4 linked regions of the Oryzias latipes genome follow. The protein of the gene in region 3 purifies or fractionates together with the protein of the main gene of each other region. This does not show direct contact. Links are inferred from orthologs where the notes say so. Each region holds a gene or a part of one and is shown on either strand. Other genes may lie near its edges.

Region 1 (3,500 bases), on a different chromosome or scaffold from region 3:
GTCTTTTGTGGTTTGTTTATCCCTTTGACTTTTTAGTTAAGTTTAACCCTCAGAACAAAACAGCTTTGCACCGATATGCAAAACTTTACAGTTGTAAAGTTTAGTGTTACTTACTGCTGAATGAATGTTACACAATCAGCTTAAATGTGCTCATTCTGACATTAGAAAGAGCGGCTTTGTGCTGTTATGCAACACTTTACGTTCAATAAGTGTTGCATTTTGGTGCAAAGGTGAAGAGAAAACCTGCTTTTCTCTGCGTCCAATCGGCTGATTCATGCTGATCGTTGAATGGTCACAAAGTTAGGATAGGTCAAGGAGGTGTCGCCACGACAACTCTAGTGTTAAAAGGTTAATGATTCTGGTTTTAACTAAATGCTAAAATCACAATAGAATTAAAAAACTTCTACTGCAAACCTTTGAGAGTCTTCTTCAGGTGGGACAGAAGTCCTCCAAGTCTCTGGAGGTCAAAGTAGTCCACCTTTCCATTGTAGAAGAGCTGAGGAGGGACGTAAGCATCTGCAGAGGAAGAGAAGAAAAAAGATTATCAGAAACATCACAAAGTTCATTCATTCAGACGGCTGTGTCACAAGCTCTTAGTAATAAATATGGAATGTTGTTTTGAGAATGCCTCAGGAGTCATACACTTACCGAATGATCAGACTTCAAATTTAATTACAGCAGTTCCCTTCTGTATTAAGAAAAACCACTAGCCAGGAATAATTAAAAACTGCGTGTCTAACTCAACAAAGGGAATAGTCTGCAGTGTCTTTGAAATCCAACAGAGAAGTGAGGCAGAGAAACACTTCAGATCAACAATTTGAGTCTTGTGTGGGTCATTCTGAATCGCAATAACCTAATCGTGCATCGTGAGCGGCGACAGCAGCAGAACCAAGCAGAGATGCTCTGACTCAGCAGTCTCTTTCTTCTCCAGCTCCCCAGGAAGATGCTGCATTTTTTCTTTCATTTCCTCGGTTGTGCCTCAAGATCTTTCTGTTTGTTTCTCGATGATACTGGAGCAGCAGAAAGTAGCAGCGACGGAGAAAAACCCCAACAGCAGAAGCTTACCTTCACTGCTCAGGCTGCTCGGAGACTTCCTGCAGGCTTCGTTCCAGCAGGATCTCACCGCCGTGATGAGGCGATGCAGGAAACACACCATGTACTCGGGGGGACACAGCGCAGTGGGGTGCTGCTCACACACAAACGCACAAGCTCAGGATTGCGCTCTAAGGTTGTCTGAGCCACAAACTGCAGCTCGTCCTTACCCCTCTGTTGCTGGCGTTCTCCTGGAGAAACTTCCTGAACTTGTTGAGGAAAATGTACCGGGAAGCCTCCCCCTGCAGAATGAAGTAAAGTAAAGGATTGTGGGTATGTAAAGGATTTTAAAAGGTTCAGGAAGATGCCAACTGTGCAGCTGAAGCAGGACTGAACCTGCATGAATGAACATTTGCCCCTAAAGAATATGCAGACACAAATAGTGTTTGTACCGTGGTTTTGTCCTTGTTGTTGAGCAGCAGCCTCAAAATCTGAATCTGCAGCTCCTCCACCACTGACAGAGAACAGAGGAGGGATGAGACCAGCAGCAGAAGAAGAAGCTTCAGAGTAAAGAGCTGAGCCTGCAGTCTGACAGTGTGAAGCAAAAGATTGAGATCGCACCTTCGATCCTCTTCTTCAGCCTCTGGCAGCCTCTCTCATAAGCTCGCCGCCTCAGCCGCTCGTCTGCGCTCTCATCTTTGGGTTCGCGCTCGTCTTTACCCTGAAAAGCAGAACACATCACGCTATAAGAAATACATATTTTATAATCCAACCAAGCAGCATATTGAGGACTGAAAAGCAGAGAAAAGTCATTTTAGTTGTGAAAACCCTCTTCTGATCCTTTTGAACAGTTTTATCACAATAAAATGTTTATTTTCAAATTTTCAACCTTCTAGAAAACAGCACCTTTAGAGGGGTTCTGCTTGTACTTGTGACTTTTCCTCCTTTGATGTTTTCTTTAAATAAAGCTTTTTTTATGACAAGTGTTTCAGAGGCTTCAGTAAAGAGCTTCAGCCTTGACTGTATAAGAGAACTGGACTGTATGACTCCTCCCCCTCCTGTTCCAAACAGGAAGTACCTGCTGGCTCCAAGCCAAAATCCCATAAGGTTCTATTGAGAAATAAACCATTTTTCTTCTTGATCTGCTATATTTTTTAACATGTTCATACTAATCCTTATTTTTGTCATGAAATTGTTCTTTCTTGCAAGTTATTGAAGTTATGAACTGACCAATCAGATGCATCAATTAAAGTATATGGTCTCACGTTGAATGTTCGAAACACAGAAACACAGATTCACACACTTTTAAATAGTAGGGGAATAGACTTTCAACAGGCTCACTCCTGATTGGCTAGAGTGGTTGTGAAGCATTGACTAAGATCGACTCGAACCAATCACTGCTTACTGACATCGTCTGGCTCCAACATTGGTGGCGACCTTATTGCGAAAAGATGGCGATTTCATTGACTTCATTTGGTTGGAGCAGGAAGTGAGCCATTTTCTATGGGTGACATCACACTCACTCGGTCCAGTTCTCATATAGTCAATGGTTTCAGCCCTCTGCCTGTGAATGAAGGTAACCTCGAGGCAGCAGCTTCAGTCTGCTGATAAGTAGTCTTTTATCTGACAACAGGAGAGGTGGCTTCACTAATGTCTGCTGTCAGGGTTGTTTCTCTGCCTCACCTCTTTGTCAAAATGCGTGGGCCACCAGGTGGTGGGGATGAGCTCCTCGAGCCCCGCCTCCTTCACTCTGAGAGGGGTCTTGATATAGAAGAAGACGACGGACCGCAGCACGTCAAACGTAGCAGTAGGTTAAGGGGACAACAGTGAGTTTTACAGGCTCAGGCTGAGTGTCAGTTGAGGCAGAGCAGCAGCTAAAGGATATAAGACATTGTTGAGCAGATACTTCCTAGACTTCTCGTGCCGAAGGATGGCCGTGGTCAAACGCAGGTAGTGGATCTGAAACAGATGAGTCGTTATCAGCCTGTGAGTGCCAAATTATGAGCGGGACAGATGGTGAGTCTCACCTGGAAACCCAGGTCCGGGATGATCGGGGAGAAGCGGTACGCGCGCAGCAGAGACATCATCAGCTGCTTCAGACATTCGTTCACCTCGTGGTCCTACAGAGAAGAAATGACACACGATGAGCTTCAACCTGAGGAAGAAGCATCAACAGAGCCTGCTTTGTGTAGACCTACAGTTGTGAGAAAATGCTTTTTGCACTTTTATCTCTTGTAAACTACAAGTGCCATCTATTGTCCAATTTTTATATAACAGCGCGACCTTGCTTGAAACTAAATGGTGAAACCCATTGGGTTAGAGGGGCTCCAAATAAGGTAAAAACTTACTCCAGTAAAGTTGCTTATTTGAGTTTGAATAGGGAGCAAAAAAGGGTTTTTAAAGAAAATCTAAGATGGCATCATTCTGAAGTGCAACAAATGTTTCAGGGGCTTCAAATGCCAGGTAAA
Region 2 (3,500 bases), on a different chromosome or scaffold from region 3:
ACGGAGTGAAAGAGAACCGTAATAAACCGTAAAAAACTTTAAACAAAAAAAAAGTGCGGTGATGCGGTTATCGTCACTCCCCTAATTTAAATTCTATAAACATTTTCATTTACAAGCAAACAGAGGAAAGTAGGTTTGGTTGAGGGACAGTAGAGCAGCATGCAGATATGGAGACAGAGAAAGCCAAACAGGGCGCCGGCTCACCTGCCCTGCGTGGCCTGAAGCTGCTGTGTGAGCTTAGCCAGGCTAGAGCTGGAAAAGGGACAAGAAGATGAGAAAGGAGACGAGCACATCTCAAGTGGATCCAAAGAAGCATGTGAGTGTGTGTCAGAGCAGAAACAGAATCAGGTTTGTTGGCAGCAGAAAATCAGTTTAGTGCTGTTAGTGATCAAACGGGAAGAGACCAGATCCAGCAGCTCTTACCAGTCAGACGAGTGCTGAGCCTCCGAGCGGAGCTGAACCACCTCCTCGGTGCCAGAAGTGGCCTGAAAAACATTCACATGACTCTGTCAGGTAAATGCTGCAGATTTCTGCGGGCGACGTGTTGGAAAGTCTCTGTTTTCTTCTTGTCACTCTTGTTTTGTCGTCAGTAACCTTCTAGGCAGGTGAAACATCTGCCTGCCTCAGCACCACTGACAACATCCCACAACAACCAGATACCTGCTAGGAGTGATCAATAACTGCAAATATTGGAAATGGGATCATCAGAAAATCTGCGTTTGCAATGACCAAACTTCTTGTAATTTTTAAAATCTCTATTCATGAGTATTCTGTAAATATAGCGACGCTGACGATCGTAGCGTTAGCTTTGTGGACACGGAAAGTAGCATGTCAGAAAGGTCACGTGTTGATGCTGTTCTCTGTGCTCTGCCAGGAGGAGACGGTGCTTATGCAACGCTAATCTGGATCCTGCATTAGGTTTACAAACCTGCAAAAGGTTTACGCAGATGTAAAACTATGAAATACACTATTTCCAATTATAAAAATGGGGCTGCAGGGTGGAGCAGTGGTTGGCGCTCTTGCCTCACAACAAGAAGGCCCCAGGTTCAAGTCCCGGCTGGGGAAACTGAAACAGAACATCAATGGGGGACCTTTCTGTGTTTGCATGTTCTCCCCGTGCATGCGTGCGTTTTCTCCAGGAACTTCCTCCTAACGTCCAAAAAACATGCTTCATAGGTTTTTTGGTTACTCTAAATTGTCCAAAGGTGTGAATGTGAGTCTGCACGGGTGTGTGATTGTTGACCTGCGACAGAATGGAGACCTGTCCAGGGCAGGGTGTCCCCTGCCTTCGCCCACACGTGGCCGGGATAGAATCCGGCAGCCCCGTGACCCCGAAAGGGACAAAACGGGTTTAGAAGATGAATGAATGAATAAATAAATTTTACAAATATATCTGTAAAATCTGTAAAGTAAGCATATTTTGTACAATTATTGGAGATGTTTTAAGGCTGTAAAGCTCCTCACTAAACACTTTATACACTTTTCTCAGACAGACATGAACATTTTCACACTTCTCTCTCTTGTTTAAACTCCTTCAAACCTTGAGTCCAATTTTTTAGGATGAAAACAAAGATCTGAAAAGCTAAATGCATTCTGTACAAGATACATAGCACAAAGGAGATCAATTCACAAAAGGTCTACAGCCAATCAGGACGCAGAAAACAATGTGCTGTAAAAAATCATTTTAAAAAAGCATGCAAAAATTGCACTGAAATAAAATCTGCAAACAGTGAACCTCGTTATAGCGAGGAAACACTATTGCATGATGGGACTTTCCCGTCTACATGACCCTGGAAAAAGGCCATCGTGATTGGATGTCTGGCGTTCGTGGACATGAGCTCCTCCTCAAACATGGGTCAGATATTCTGCTTCACTTAACAAGAGGCTCCGTTTTATTTGTGTTTTCAAAATTTTCCACAATCAGAAACGTATTTTTTTGTAGCCAAGTGACCAACTGATCACAACAGATTTAACAGCATCTGTGAATGTTGGATCATTCATAGCAGCCATGATGCAAATTAAGACCAAAACTGGCCGTTTTTTAACCACAATGTGCAAAAAGGAGAGAAAGATCTGGATTTTTTCTGGACTCTGCATCACCTGCGTGTGCAGCAGTTTGGATCTCAGCTGGTCGATGCAGCGCCGCATCCGATCCCTCTCCTTCTCTCCCTCCTCCTTCTCCCTCTCCAGATTTTCGTTCTTCTTCATCAGGTCTCTCATCGTTTCCTCCAATTGCTCCTTGTGGCTCTTCAGCAGCTTCAGGAAGTCGTTTGTTCCCTCTAACGGCTACAGACAAACAGACAGCTGCATTAAGCTAAGACACAGATAGACTATCAATGAGCCACAAAACTGTCGAACAGGGAGGCAAGTGTCTATGCAGTGACAGGAGTGTGCAGAGAAGCAGGAAGCTGGCGCGCAGACCGTCTCACCAGGCTGCGAGGGGGCGTGGTTTGTGTTCGCTGTTCGGTCTCGTCAGCTCTTTTCCTCTCCCACTGATCAAGAGTCTGAGAGGAAAGAAATCAACAAAAAAACTGAATTTATTTTGAAATAAACTATTTTGGTTAAAGATTATAATCTGTAAGATGTTACAAAATAAAAGCTTCTGCATTTAATAGTTAAGGTTGAAGCTTCAGTATAAAATTTTAATTGAAAGAAAAACATGGATGCAGAGACGACATAAAAAATTCAAAAAGAGCTGAGACAAGTGAACGGTCGACTGTCATCTTTGTGGCTTAATCCTGAAGAGACTTCTGTCAGTAAAGCTACTTCCTAAACCAGACGAGCGCCTCCATTCCTGAGACAAAAACCAAACGGTGTCTGCAGACGTATCTGGACATGTTTTAGTCATCCAGCTAAGGTCACTCCAGGAGAAATCCTGGACTAGGATGATCAAGATAGCTTTCTGCAATCCATTCAGATTCACTGACAATATGGGGAACTCCTGCAAACATTTTGCACCAAACTGTAGCTCTGACCACGCTGCCTGCTGGTGGTAATGGAGGTCACACCAGCAGACTTTCATCTGAATGAATTGCTTCGACTCCAAGCGGAGAGATGCTGCACTACAGGGCTTTTGGAAGCATTTAGAGAAAAGGTGGAAATTTGGGGTTAAGGAGGAGTCAGTCCGGACCCCAAATTGATTCATAAATGGATTTGTCCTAAGAGACTCGGGATCCCAACATCCCAACTTTCCATGACTTGACAAAGCAAGACCATTCGTGGTTTTTTTATTGCTGCGGATCTGTGGTCCCTAAGTTTTGGCAGATGCTCCAAACGAGAACACGGATCTTTGAGGGAACAAACCCGAATTAGCAAAACTGACTGTCAACACACAAAGTTCACTATGCAGCAAAAACCTGAATTTTTGGCAAGTGAAGCAATAATATTTATGTTTATGATGTTATCGTCAATTTGCAGGACACTACTCAGCTCAAACATATTTATTCAAACAGTTTTATCCTTTTTTTTCTTTTAAAGAAAGTTGTTTTTGTCCTTCAACT
Region 3 (3,500 bases):
ATTGAGGACCAGCTGAACTTTACAGAAAGCTGCTTCTTCCCTTCCCAGCATGCAGTTCTGTCTCCTCCAAAATCAGAAGATTAAACCTTCGGTTATCCTGGTTCACACTCTGGTAGCTGTCACTCCAGGAAACGCTTTGATTTGGGCAGAAATGCTGAAAACGTATGTTCATGTGGGGGCGCCATCCATACCCAGGACTAACCAGGTCTAACCAGGACTAACCAGGTCTAACCAGGACTAACCAGGTCAAACCAGGACAAACCAGGACTAACCAGGTCTAACCAGGTCTAACCAGGACTAACCAGGTCTAACCAGGACTAACCAGGTCTAACCAGGTCTAACCAGGACTAACCAGGTCTAACCAGGACTAATCAGGACTAACCAGGTCTAACCAGGACTAACCAGGTCTAACCAGGACTAACCAGGACTAACCAGGTCTAACCAGGACTAACCAGGTCTAACCAGGACTAACCAGGACTAACCAGGTCTAACCAGGACTAACCAGGTCTAACCAGGACTAACCAGGTCTAACCAGGACAAACCAGGACAAACCAGGACTAACCAAACCAAGACTAACCAGGACTAACCAGGACTAACCAGGTATAACCAGGTCTAACCAGGTCTAACCAGGACTAACCAGGACTAACCAGGTCTAACCAGGTCTAACCAGGACTAACCAGGTCTAACCAGGACTAACCAGGTCTAACCAGGACTAACCAGGTCTAACCAGGACTAACCAGGTTTAACCAGGTCTAACCAGGACTAACCAGGTCTAACCAGGACTAACCAGGTCTAACCAGGACTAATCAGGACTAACCAGGTCTAACCAGGACTAACCAGGACTAACCAGGAATAACCAGGTCTAACCAGGACTAACCAGGAATAACCAGGTCTAACCAGGTCTAACCAGCACTAACCAGGACTAGCCAGGTCTAACCAGGACTAACCAGGTCTAACCAGGACTAACCAGGACTAACCAGGAATAACCAGGTCTAACCAGGACTAACCAGGAATAACCAGGTCTAACCAGGACTAACCAGGTCTAACCAGGTCTAACCTGGACTAAACAGGACTAACCAGGTCTAACCAGGACTAACCAGGTCTAACCAAGACTAACCAGGTCTAACCAGGACTAACCAGGTCTAACCAGGACTAACCAGGAATAACCAGGTCTAACCAGGTCTAAACAGCACTAACCAGGACTAACCAGGTCTAACCAAGACTAACCAGGTCTAACCAGGACTAACCAGGTCTAACCAGGACTAATCAGGACTAACCAGGACTAGGACTAATCAGGTCTAACCAGGACTAACCAGGTCTAACCAGGACTAGGACTAATCAGGTCTAACCAGGACTAACCAGGACTAAACAGGTCTAACCAGGACTAACCAGGACTAACCAGGACTAATCAGGACTAACCAGGACTAAACCGGTCTAACCAGGACTAACCAGGTCTAACCAGGACTAACCAGGTCTAACCAGGACTAGCCAGGTCTAACCAGGACTAACCAGGTCTAACCAGGACTAACCAGGTCTAACCAGGACTAACCAGGTCTAACCAGGACTAACCAGGTCTAACCAGGACTAGGACTAATCAGGTCTAACCAGGACTAACCAGGTCTAACCAGGACTAACCAGGACTAACCAGGTCTAACCAGGACTAATCAGGTCTAACCAGGACTAATCAGGTCTAACCAGGACTAACCAGGACTAACCAGGACTAACCAGGTCTAACCAGGTCTATCCTGGACTAAACAGGACTAACCAGGTCTAACCAGGACTAACCAGGTCTAACCAAGACTAACCAGGTCTAACCAGGACTAACCAGGTCTAACCAGGTCTAACCAGCACTAACCAGGACTAACCAAGACTAACCAGGTCTAACCAGGACTAACCAGGTCTAACCAGGACTAACCAGGTCTAACCAGGACTAGGACTAATCAGGTCTAACCAGGACTAACCAGGTCTAACCAGGACTAGGACTAATCAGGTCTAACCAGGACTAACCAGGACTAAACAGGTCTAACCAGGACTAACCAGGACTAACCAGGACTAATCAGGACTAACCAGGACTAAACAGGTCTAACCAGGACTAACCAGGACTAACCAGGACTAACCAGGTCTAACCAAGACTAACCAGGTCTAACCAGGACTAACCAGGTCTAACCAGGACTAGGACTAATCAGGTCTAACCAGGACTAACCAGGTCTAACCAGGACTAGGACTAATCAGGTCTAACCAGGACTAACCAGGACTAAACAGGTCTAACCAGGACTAACCAGGTCTAACCAGGTCTAACCAGGACTAACCAGGACTAACCAGGACTAACCAGGTCTAACCAAGACTAACCAGGTCTAACCAGGACTAACCAGGTCTAACCAGGACTAGGACTAATCAGGTCTAACCAGGACTAACCAGGACTCTAACTTGTCCTCAGATTCTGACATGTGAAGGAGCTCCTGCTGCTCCTCCCTGCCCCCCCCCCTACCCAGCAGACCCTAAACATCGTTAGATTCCCGCTCTCTCCCTTCGCTCCGGATGAGTGGATTGAAACTCACTGCTGTCAAAGATCGGCTCGGACACCACAGGTTCCAGTCGTCGGGTAAAGCCCCCGTCGCTGTCGGGGAGGAACGCCGTAAACATGAGGCGAACCACACTGAGGTCCATCTCCTTGGCCTGGCTGGCCGCTGCACTGCTGATCACACAGCGCTGATGGTCTGAGGACACACAGATGGGAACCATGAAAATGCAATATCACAGGAGTAGTTTTACCTTACTGCCGTACTGCAACAAAGATTTCAGGAGAAAATCCTTTTTTTTTTTAGAATTTTTCATGTAAGCAAGGATCATAATTACAAAAACTTCTAGCTCAAAATGAACTTATGCTGCAGTATCTAAGCTTTCCCACAGGACTAATTGTCACCTACTTTTACTAATTAACAGTTTTATCTAGTTCATCGTTGCACCATTTGTACTAAATGTTCAGCTACTTCACAGAAGAGCTCTGTTTAGGGGTTACGAGAATCAAAGGTGGGACCTGTAGACCCGAAACCTTCACTGACCGCTGAGCTCTCGCGGGACGCGGACCTCCCCCTGCACGGCGTCGATCTCTGGATGGATGGAGATGCTGCAGTTGTAGCCCATCCTGAACGCTTCAATCATTCTCTCCTCAAGAGTCTTGGCCACGTTCTTCTTGGTCACATGGAGGATCCCCAGGTTAGGAAAACTAACAGGAAACATACGTGAGCGTCATTGGTTTAACACGTTCAGGCCGACGGCATAAGGCGCACACCTGATGGTGGCTTCTTTGGACTGCAGGTCGGCGATGCAAATTCCTTTATCGCACTGTTTCCCCACCAGACTGTGAGCGTGAAGCTGTGGGCTGGAGGTCAGCGCCGTCACCAACTGGACCACCACCCGAGCCTGGCCCTGATAGTTGAAGATCTGAAACACAGAACACTAAAAGTGTCATGTCTGACAAAAATAGAGCTGAGGAAAAG
Region 4 (2,322 bases), on a different chromosome or scaffold from region 3:
TGCGACATGGTGGGGATGCGGGCACAGGAGTCGTTCCAGTCCTTCAAGAAGCTCGACGAAGGCTTCAGTTGAAGTGACGGACGGAGCTGTCATTTGGAAACATCTGAAGTGTGGAGTCAGCACTTTGTGCACTGACTCAGCTCTCGGTTGCCTCACATTTCCTTTCAGTCATTCTTAGATCTCTCCTTACTAAGAATTTTTCTTTTATTGCTTAAGAATCTTGTAAAGACTCAATGCTTCTCATCATGTGTCTTACGCAAAACTGATATTTAAAAAAAAATAAAAAAAGTAATTACGAAAGGAAAGTAGCAGAGGCGTCACGCTCTGCATCTGCAGCCCGGTCAGAGCAGCCGTTTGCTTCGATAGTTCAACTTTCAGTTTCTCCGATCTGTTTTTTTCCTTTTCACTCTCTCTTCTTGCTTGTGTCTGATTACACGTATGTTTTCGCTGCTTTGTTTGAACCCTGCTGGTGTTCTGCAGAGTCCTCTCCACCTTGCCACCTACCTAAACCTGACAGACGTGGTGAGGGACCTGACAAGGAAAGGGGCCAGCCTGGAGCTGCAGGACCAGGACGGGAACACGGCGCTCCACGTGGCCTGCCAGCACGGGCAGAAGGAGTGCGCCTCGGAGATGACCCAGGACTTTTGTCCCAGCACGCTAGAGCCGGTCCTCAAGATTCAAAACTGGAGAGGTCAGAAGAATGCCCGTCAAAAAAATAGCCTTCGTTCTATCTCAGTTTCTGTATCTAAAAGAAGTTTTTTTTTTTTTGTCTGAAATGCAACATTTTCTGTTGTGTTAACACTTTAGGGTAAAATGTGATACATATGTGATATATATCTATATAGATCTAGATATATATATATATATATATATTTATTTTTCCAAACCTTTAAATAAAGATGATTGTGCTTGCAGGTCTCGCTTGTCTTCACCTGGCTGCACTTAACAGGAAACACCAAATTATGAACCTCCTGGTGAAAAAAGGAGCAGATCTGAACATTCAGGTTAGTCCAACGCCTCCTCTACGGTTCATTTTTATAACACAGCTGATAAAACCAAATGAAATTTACCCCCTCCAAAACCGGACACTATTTTTAGTCTGGAGCTCCATGAAACCAATTCCTGCATAAACGTACAAAAATAATGATGTATTTTCTCAAAAAACAAATAATCTGAGTATATATTTACCACTTTTGTTCCCTTCAAGTGCCGTTTGCAGCATCTTTGGTTCCCGTTTAAAGCGTCCTGCACCTGCGCGACGCTGATATTGACACAGGCTGAGCTTTGGATTTCCCGCAGAATTCATGGAGACATAATTAGATATGAGATATGATTAGGCCGGTCAGCCGGTCTGTCTTAACTTTCTATAGATGGAAGGGAACGCTGCGGTCATTCCCCTAACTACCCCAGACATTCCTCTCTGTTTGAATCACCGTCCCAACATATCAGTCTGCGTCTGCAGCCATGAATCATTTTTGTAATTATCACCCTGCTATTTTGATGCCTGTCAGTGCAGCTCAGTGATCTGGCATAATTATGACATGAACGTCCGTTTTCTTGCAGGAAGGAACGAGTGGCAAAACGGCCCTTCACCTGGCGGTGGAGATGCACGACATCGCATCAGTGAGACTTCTGCTCAACAGGGGGGCCAATGTGGATGCTGCCATGTTTAACGGCTGCACGCCCCTGCATCTGGCAGTGGGGAGGCAAGACATCGCCATCGCCAACCTCCTGTTCCAGGCCGGCGCCGACACGATGCTGCGGAACATGGAGGACGAGACGGCGCTGGATCTGGCTGACGGCAACGATGATGTAAGCAGTTCATTTTCTAACGGGAATGATTTTGTCTAGCTGTTACAAAATTATTGGAACTGCTTCTAAAACTACAGGGGTCCTTCGTTTATCGTGGAAGTTATGTTCCATTAAAGCTGTAAACTCTGCGCCGCACTCTTTGTTCACTTCTCTCAGATAGACATGAACATTTGATCACTTTTCTCTGTTTTTGTTTCTACTCTCAACGTTTGAAACCTAATAGACAAATAGGTCCAGTAATGTAGAATGAAAACAAAGAAGATTTTTTAGAATCTGGCAGCCTAGCTAGTTTTTTTACTTGCCTTTGTTTCAAGAAATGAAGTTATCTTTGAATTAAAAAAAAAGTAATTTTATGGCCAAAAAATATCCAAAGATAATTCAATTAAAATCCAAAATGAATAAATTGATAAAGTTTTATATATATTTTTTTAGGTATTTAAATGGCTGGAAAACTTCTTTGGAGAGATCCAATTGGTGCAGTTTGCAATAAAATCACAAATCTGTGGTTAT

The links. Proteins that work in one complex are often made in the same cells at the same time.
Region 1: the proteins of nfkb1 (region 3) and rnf123 purify together in Homo sapiens (affinity purification with western blotting; 4 studies listed by BioGRID). This does not show direct contact. The link is inferred for Oryzias latipes from reciprocal best matches to the Homo sapiens genes NFKB1 and RNF123.
Region 2: the proteins of nfkb1 (region 3) and ikbkg purify together in Homo sapiens (affinity purification with mass spectrometry; 4 studies listed by BioGRID and IntAct, with this or other methods). This does not show direct contact. The link is inferred for Oryzias latipes from reciprocal best matches to the Homo sapiens genes NFKB1 and IKBKG.
Region 4: the proteins of nfkb1 (region 3) and nfkbie purify together in Homo sapiens (affinity purification with mass spectrometry; 4 studies listed by BioGRID and IntAct, with this or other methods). This does not show direct contact. The link is inferred for Oryzias latipes from reciprocal best matches to the Homo sapiens genes NFKB1 and NFKBIE.

The regions. Positions count from the first base shown.
Region 1 is NC_019863.2:20,439,249-20,442,748, reverse strand, and holds part of rnf123 (E3 ubiquitin-protein ligase RNF123), read right to left. Parts: intron 3,153-3,500; coding exon 3,060-3,152; intron 2,992-3,059; coding exon 2,918-2,991; intron 2,834-2,917; coding exon 2,716-2,833; intron 1,754-2,715; coding exon 1,654-1,753; intron 1,547-1,653; coding exon 1,485-1,546; intron 1,335-1,484; coding exon 1,263-1,334; intron 1,187-1,262; coding exon 1,066-1,186; intron 517-1,065; coding exon 415-516; intron 1-414. UniProt on the Homo sapiens protein: Catalytic subunit of the KPC complex that acts as E3 ubiquitin-protein ligase. Promotes the ubiquitination and proteasome-mediated degradation of CDKN1B which is the cyclin-dependent kinase inhibitor at the G0-G1 transition of the cell cycle.
Region 2 is NC_019865.2:4,847,836-4,851,335, forward strand, and holds part of ikbkg (NF-kappa-B essential modulator), read right to left. Parts: intron 2,505-3,500; coding exon 2,430-2,504; intron 2,287-2,429; coding exon 2,101-2,286; intron 486-2,100; coding exon 424-485; intron 253-423; coding exon 205-252; intron 1-204. UniProt on the Homo sapiens protein: Regulatory subunit of the IKK core complex which phosphorylates inhibitors of NF-kappa-B thus leading to the dissociation of the inhibitor/NF-kappa-B complex and ultimately the degradation of the inhibitor.
Region 3 is NC_019868.2:30,854,154-30,857,653, reverse strand, and holds part of nfkb1 (nuclear factor NF-kappa-B p105 subunit), read right to left. Parts: intron 3,445-3,500; coding exon 3,293-3,444; intron 3,227-3,292; coding exon 3,063-3,226; intron 2,718-3,062; coding exon 2,559-2,717; intron 1-2,558.
Region 4 is NC_019882.2:5,904,989-5,907,310, reverse strand, and holds part of nfkbie (NF-kappa-B inhibitor epsilon), read left to right. Parts: intron 1-480; coding exon 481-691; intron 692-915; coding exon 916-1,004; intron 1,005-1,563; coding exon 1,564-1,812; intron 1,813-2,322. UniProt on the Homo sapiens protein: Sequesters NF-kappa-B transcription factor complexes in the cytoplasm, thereby inhibiting their activity. Sequestered complexes include NFKB1-RELA (p50-p65) and NFKB1-REL (p50-c-Rel) complexes.